Cricetulus griseus: one gene and its partner. The protein of the gene in region 1 interacts with the protein of each later gene in a biochemical or structural test. Links are inferred from orthologs where the notes say so. Each region holds a gene or a part of one and is shown in the gene's direction. Other genes may lie near its edges.

Region 1 (3,816 bases):
GATTATGACTCTCCTCTCAGGGAGCAGCTGCCCACCCTGACAGTGAGGAACAGCAGCAGCGGCTGCGTGAAGCGGCTGAGGGGCTTCGCATGGCCACCAATGCAGCTGCACAGAATGCCATCAAGAAAAAGTTGGTGCAGCGCCTGGAGGTAAGGCTGGGCAGTCCTTGCAGGGAGGTGGGGGGGTAAATGCACGGATGCAGTGAGAGGAATGAGTGGGGGTAGGTGGGGAGAGTGCCGTGTAGGCCAGGGCCTGGGAATGCCTGGTCTTCTGATCACTCTGTCCTTCTAGCATGCAGCCAAACAAGCTGCAGCCTCTGCTACGCAGACCATCGCTGCAGCCCAGCATGCAGCCTCTGCCCCCAAGGCCTCTGCTGGCCCCCAGCCCCTGCTGGTGCAGAGCTGTAAGGTAAGTCTCCAAGAGGCATGTGGGAGTAGGGAGGGGTCAGAACAAAGGTAGTACTTTCCCTGACTTCAAGAGCATGAGATTCATGGCACTTTGACCTACAGGCTGTGGCAGAGCAGATTCCATTGCTGGTACAGGGCGTCCGAGGAAGCCAAGCTCAACCTGACAGCCCCAGTGCCCAGCTCGCCCTCATTGCTGCCAGCCAGAGCTTCCTGCAGGCAAGACACTCTCCACTTCTAAGACCAGATCCTCCCCACCTTTCCAAGACCTTAGATCCCCCACAATCTGAGTATCTGCTAGTAGCTGAGACCAAACCTGAGTGCTTACTTACTGCACCCTACCAGTGTCCGTTGGAAGGCTAGAGAGAGGGTATTGTATACCTCATTTGCATATCTTCTCCAACAGCCAGGTGGGAAGATGGTGGCAGCTGCAAAAGCCTCAGTGCCAACAATTCAGGACCAGGCTTCAGCAATGCAGCTGAGTCAATGTGCAAAGAACCTAGGCACTGCACTGGCAGAGCTCCGTACTGCTGCCCAGAAGGTATGGGAGCTGTTCTAGCTGTGGAAGATGAGGCTCTGTATGTGGACTCCTGGGATGGGGGAGAATTTGTACACTATAACCTCTAAGAGGGATGACTGTAGTCTGAGGCCCAGGAATGTAGCCATACCCCCTGCTGCTCGCCATCACAGGCTCAGGAGGCATGTGGACCTTTGGAGATGGATTCTGCACTGAGCGTCGTACAGAATCTAGAGAAAGACCTGCAGGAAGTAAAAGCAGCAGCTCGAGATGGCAAGCTTAAACCCTTACCTGGGGAAACAGTGAGTAGTCGGTCTTATTAACATGCCCTCAGCCAAACCATGAAAGTCTGCTCAGCTATGCCCTAGAACCTTCATTTAATCTTCCAGCTGTCCCCAAGAACCTTCTCAGATACCCTCTCACTTCCTCCTCCTCCTAAGCCTTCACCCTCTTATCTGCAGATGGAGAAGTGTGCCCAGGATCTTGGCAACAGCACGAAAGCAGTGAGCTCTGCCATTGCTAAGCTGCTGGGGGAGGTTGCCCAAGGCAATGAGAACTATGCAGGTATGTAGGCACAAGGCTAGGAATGGGACATATGATAGGGAAATGGAGAAGGGGGGCCTTGTTGGGGAGAGAAGCTAATGGAGCAAACCTATCTCCTCTGTGTGTCCCCAGGTATTGCAGCTCGGGATGTGGCAGGTGGACTACGGTCACTTGCCCAGGCTGCTCGGGGTGTAGCTGCCCTGACATCAGATCCTGCGGTGCAGGCCATTGTGCTTGACACAGCCAGTGATGTTCTGGACAAGGCCAGCAGCCTCATTGATGAGGCAAAAAAAGCAGCTGGCCATCCAGGGGACCCAGAGAGCCAGCAAAGGCTTGCTCAGGTCAGTTATTAGGAGGGGCTCCTGCCCACCCCTCCCTTAGATCTCTTCAAAAGGTTCACCCTAATAAGACACACACTCTTCAGCTTCGTGTGTCCTCAGATCTGCTCATAAGAGTGCCTCTCTGAATTCCACCTTCTCTCTTGTCTTAGAAGTATCTGTTAGGCTTAGGCACAAACCTTGCAGAGCAGCGGGTTTGGGGATGTTTGGTGATTATTGTTTGTTATGACCCTGACCTCAGCTTCTTCCAGTTTTAGTGGCAGGACAGCTTGTTATCTCCTATGTCCCAGTGTGGAAGGAGGGCTCTCCCAGATTATTCCTTCTTTGGCAACCCTGTTTCTTTTCCACTTCAGGTGGCGAAAGCTGTGACCCAGGCCCTGAACCGCTGTGTCAGCTGCCTGCCTGGCCAAAGAGATGTGGACAATGCCCTACGAGCAGTTGGAGATGCCAGCAAGCGACTCCTGAGTGACTCGGTAGGAACAGGCATGGCTAGGAGAGGAGAGCTTTCTGTCTCTGGGCTTCTCCTTTGACCCTGCCTTCCCAGAGCTGCCCTTTTCATTATTCCTAGGTCCCGTGCCCATCTTACTGGCCTTCCTTTCCCAAACTCTGTCTCACCTCCCATCCATCTTCCTGACTTTCCCTCTGACCCCACAGCTTCCTCCCAGCACTGGGACATTTCAAGAAGCTCAGAGCCGACTGAATGAAGCTGCTGCTGGATTAAATCAGGCAGCCACAGAACTGGTACAGGCCTCCAGAGGAACCCCTCAGGACCTGGCTCGGGCCTCAGGTCGATTTGGACAGGACTTCAGCACCTTCCTGGAAGCTGGAGTGGAGATGGCTGGACAGGCCCCGGTACGATGGGGCAAAGGGTGTTATGAGGGCACAGTAGGGGACACATGGCTGTTTGGGGTCTGGGTCTGCTGGTTGCCTCCTCCCCAGGGTCTATCAGAATGTGAGTATTTGGGAAAGATCCTTTTAGAAACAGATATGACAGGATAATGTATGCTCTCACCTGTAACAGAGCCAGGAGGACCGAGCCCAGGTGGTCTCCAACTTGAAGGGCATATCCATGTCTTCAAGCAAACTTCTTCTGGCTGCTAAGGCCTTATCCACAGACCCTGCTGCTCCCAACCTAAAGAGTCAACTGGCTGCAGCTGCTAGGTAAGCAGGAACTGGAAAGCCCAGCTCTGGGAACCTGTGAGAAGGCCAGAGAGAAGACATTTCCTAAGACATCCCCAGGGTTAGCAAAAGAAAATATATACAGTCCCATGCACACAGGACACAGGGAAGATCACCTACTCACTGAGTTCCACACCCCTCCCCCAAACAGGGCGGTGACAGACAGCATCAACCAGCTTATCACCATGTGCACCCAGCAAGCACCTGGACAGAAGGAGTGTGACAATGCCCTTCGGGAACTAGAGGTGAGCCTTTAGCATAGTAGCTGGAACTAAGGAGCTAGGGCTGAGGGAATGTCTCAAATTTCATGTCACTCCCCTACACAGACAGTCCGAGAACTCCTGGAGAATCCAGTCCAACCCATCAATGACATGTCTTACTTCGGTTGTTTGGACAGTGTCATGGAGAACTCAAAGGTTAGTGGGCCGGGGAGCTCTAGAGAGGCAAGGACAGGAAGATGGACTTAACACTGATACCTTGATGCTCAGGATGTGATCCGACCCTCCTGACACCCTCTCTTCCTTAGGTCCTAGGTGAGGCCATGACTGGCATCTCCCAAAATGCCAAGAATGGAAATCTGCCGGAGTTTGGAGATGCCATCGCCACAGCCTCCAAGGCCCTCTGTGGCTTCACCGAGGCCGCTGCACAGGTTATTTCCCTCAGATGGACTCCTAGAGCAGCTCTTGCTTTCTATGTCCTTTCTCCCTTTGCAAGGATATAAATCAAGAAGCTAGTGCAAAATCTGGGTGCCCCCCTTCTGTAGGGAAGGGAGATGGTCATCAGAACTGTTGAGCTGCAGCAGCTCAAGGTGCTGTAACTCTTGGTTTTGGTCACA
Region 2 (3,178 bases), on another chromosome or scaffold:
TAATGTTTTTAAGATTTATGTGTATAAGTGACTTGCCTGCCTGTATGTATGTATATGTACCATATGCATGCCTGGGTGCCAGGGAAGGTCAGAAGAGGTTGTCAAGTGGTCTGGATTTATAGATGGTTCTGGGCCACCATGTGGGTGCTGGGAATTTAATGTGGGTTCTCTGAAATAGCAGGGAGTGCTCTTTGCCTCTGAGCCATCTCTCCACTAAGTTTTAAAATGTACACTTGGGTGAACCTGCATCAGATGGGTACAATTCGGCCTGAGAACTCTGCTTTAGACCACTTAGGACAGATTATGGCTGTTTTAAAGACTGCCCCCCTTCAAAAAAAGGGTGAAATTACTGTTTTGACTATCTTAGTTCCAGTCCTTTGTTTACGTGTTAAGACCTCATTCCTAGACATGTCTGGTGACTCCTGCTTTCTCCCTCTGTCTCCCAGAGTGTCCCAAGGGTCCTGACATCCTGATGGTCCTGATGTCAGTGATGGGAGCCATTCTGCTCATCGGTCTTGCTACTCTGCTCATCTGGAAGCTACTCATCACCATCCATGACCGGAAGGAATTTGCTAAATTTGAGGAAGAACGAGCCAGAGCAAAATGGGACACAGTAAGAGGCTGTGCTGTGCTTGTGTTTTCTTAAATCTTTGGTTCAAGAGCCAGAGGTTGCCGGGCAGTGGTCTGGAGGCAGAGGCAGGCAGATCTCAGTGAGTTCGAGGCTGGCCTGGTCTACAGAATGAATTCCAGGCCAGCCAGGGGTGTCACACAGAGAAACCCTATCTCAAAAAACCAAAATCCCAAACAAATCAAAACAAAATACAAACAAAGCCTCCCCCAAACCAGAACCTGAGGTCCAGGCACCAGATGTTCGCTGTGGTCGGAGTCAGCCCCGACAGTTGTTCCCTAGTTATCCTGTTTGGCAGATGGTTTGACTATCCTCTTTTGTCTTTATAGTTCATGAAAAACACCCAGTCCTTTACCTTACAGTGACTGAAAGTCGTGATCCCTGTCTGTGCACACATAGGACTCTGTGATGAAAGGAGACATTTACTCTCCAGTTGATTGAGACAGGGCAGATCTGTAACACACTGTATAGTGGTGAGCAAGTCTGAAGTTTAAACATGAACAGAAAGTGACAGAAGAGTGAACATTTACTGAGGACTTCACACCAAAAACTGTAAGGTGCTTTTGACACCTTACTTTGCTTTCTCTCTGTTAAGGAGGCTGAAGCTGAGAATTAAAGTAGCTTGCCTGACCCAGAAAGGAATTGGGTGACTGTAGGAATTCCGTTCGGGGTCGACCTTTTGATGTAGCCACAGTACATCTGTTTACTTCATTCTCTCCTTTTCTGCAAATGCAAAGTAGTAGCTTCCAAACCAGGCTTCTCTGGGGGACCCAGGATGCAGTTTATCCTGATTTAATCCAACCAAATGAGCATTAAGAAAAGAGTGTTTGTGTGTGTGCAAACCAATGCATGCCATGGCATTTGTGCAGAGGTCAGGGGACAAGTTGCAGGAGTCAGTCCTCTTCTTTCTTGTGGGTTCTGAGGATGGAACTCAGCAGCAAGTTCTCCCCCCACCCCTACTGTGCCAGCTCACCAGCCTATCAAACGAGCAGTTTTTTTTTTTTTTGAGAACCACCTGTATATTTAATTCTATTCTCTTTTTGTTCATTTTATTTTTCCTGAACCTACCAAGTGACCATTTGACTCTATAGAGTATCCAGGGTTAGGCTGAAACTTTGTTCCTGGTGACCCTAGATTTTGTATTCACTGGACCCAAGAAGCAGAGATGTTTCTGTTGGGACTATGTAGAACATTCTGAGCCACCAAGGGACCAAAGAATTTTGTAAATATCTCGTACTGCCATTGAGCGGGGGATTCATCAGTTTTGTTGGGAAATAATTTTGGAAACTCAGTAAAGGTCTTCTGTCTTCCTGAGCACACAACAGGTTTGTGGGTAGCAATTGACTCAAGAGATGAGATAAAGCAAGAATTATTTCAGTAAAGCTCTGTGTTCTGACCCCACCTACTCCCCTTTTCCTTTCTGGCTCACATCTCCTGGCACTGCCGTGATGAAGGGAAAGGAAGAGTAGAGAGAGAAGAGGAAATAGGAGAGACTGGGTAAAATGGTACACTATTTTGGGACAGCCAAGAACTAATGGGTATTCACCACCAAAAGTTATGGGCTGAATTAGAAGCCCTTAGAAATGGCGGCTGACTAGCAACACACCATCCTCTCCTCTCCTAACTAACTGTCTAGTCCCATCCTCAGAGCAAAAGCGTATATGTGCACACGGCTGCTTTTGACAGTTGACTCTAGAGAAGGATGTCTTGGGCAAAATTCTCAGATGAAATTCAACTGCTGAGGGTAAGGAAGTGCAAGGAGCTGACTGTGACTCTCTTCTGCTCTTTTTGCAGGCAAACAACCCACTGTTTAAAGAGGCCACCTCCACCTTCACCAATATCACCTACCGGGGCACTTAATGAGAAGAAGTCATCCTTAGAACTTTGTCAGCTTAGGCCAGATTTGTCAGATTGTGGGAGTCTGTGACATCATGTTTACAGGGGACAGTATTTGTGGGTAGAATCTGGGGCTTGGATTGGGACCAGCTGAAAAAAGTATGTGGGAGTGTATCTCTGTGTATGTGTATATATATGTGTGTGTGCGTATGTGTTAATGGGAGTTTATCTCTCTCTCTCTCTCTCTCTCTCTCTCTCTATATATATATATATATATATATATATATATATGTGTGTGTGTGTGTATATATATGTGTGTATAAATATATACACATATATATGTATATATGTGTGTGTGTGTGTGTGTGTTGAGTGTGGGGTAATGTGTAGCTTAAAACTTTTGAGTTGTCCCCATAGGCAGAGCTCCACAGCCTTTGTCCTCAGAATCCCTCCTGAAGGGATTCTTCGTGCTTAGCTTGAGGGGAACTCATGATGCTGAGCGGGCACTCTCTGTTACCTCTGAGAAGCCAGCTTGCCTTGTTAGGTCATTCTCCTAGAGAGAAGGGTGGGGCTGAGATGTTTTGGTTCCAGAGGAAGCGATACCAGGCCTTGGCTCTATACTGAGTTTGTATGATCTGGTTCTTGGTCCTGTCAACAGCTACAGTAGGAACTGCTTGCCTTTGAAGGCCAGTTGTATCATTTGTGCCTCTGCCC

Evidence for each region.
Region 2: the proteins of Tln1 (region 1) and Itgb3 form a complex in vitro, tested with the Homo sapiens proteins (6 studies listed by BioGRID and IntAct, with this or other methods). The link is inferred for Cricetulus griseus from reciprocal best matches to the Homo sapiens genes TLN1 and ITGB3.

What each region holds. Positions count from the first base shown.
Region 1 is NC_048595.1:99,973,457-99,977,272, forward strand, and holds part of Tln1 (talin-1), read left to right. Parts: intron 1-20; coding exon 21-149; intron 150-291; coding exon 292-408; intron 409-509; coding exon 510-623; intron 624-810; coding exon 811-945; intron 946-1,094; coding exon 1,095-1,223; intron 1,224-1,382; coding exon 1,383-1,485; intron 1,486-1,596; coding exon 1,597-1,805; intron 1,806-2,155; coding exon 2,156-2,275; intron 2,276-2,456; coding exon 2,457-2,654; intron 2,655-2,823; coding exon 2,824-2,963; intron 2,964-3,132; coding exon 3,133-3,226; intron 3,227-3,307; coding exon 3,308-3,397; intron 3,398-3,507; coding exon 3,508-3,630; intron 3,631-3,816. UniProt on the Homo sapiens protein: High molecular weight cytoskeletal protein concentrated at regions of cell-matrix and cell-cell contacts. Involved in connections of major cytoskeletal structures to the plasma membrane.
Region 2 is NC_048600.1:117,689,334-117,692,511, forward strand, and holds the end of Itgb3 (integrin beta-3), read left to right. Parts: intron 1-446; coding exon 447-613; intron 614-2,422; coding exon 2,423-2,488; 3' UTR 2,489-2,678; downstream 2,679-3,178. UniProt on the Homo sapiens protein: Integrin alpha-V/beta-3 (ITGAV:ITGB3) is a receptor for cytotactin, fibronectin, laminin, matrix metalloproteinase-2, osteopontin, osteomodulin, prothrombin, thrombospondin, vitronectin and von Willebrand factor.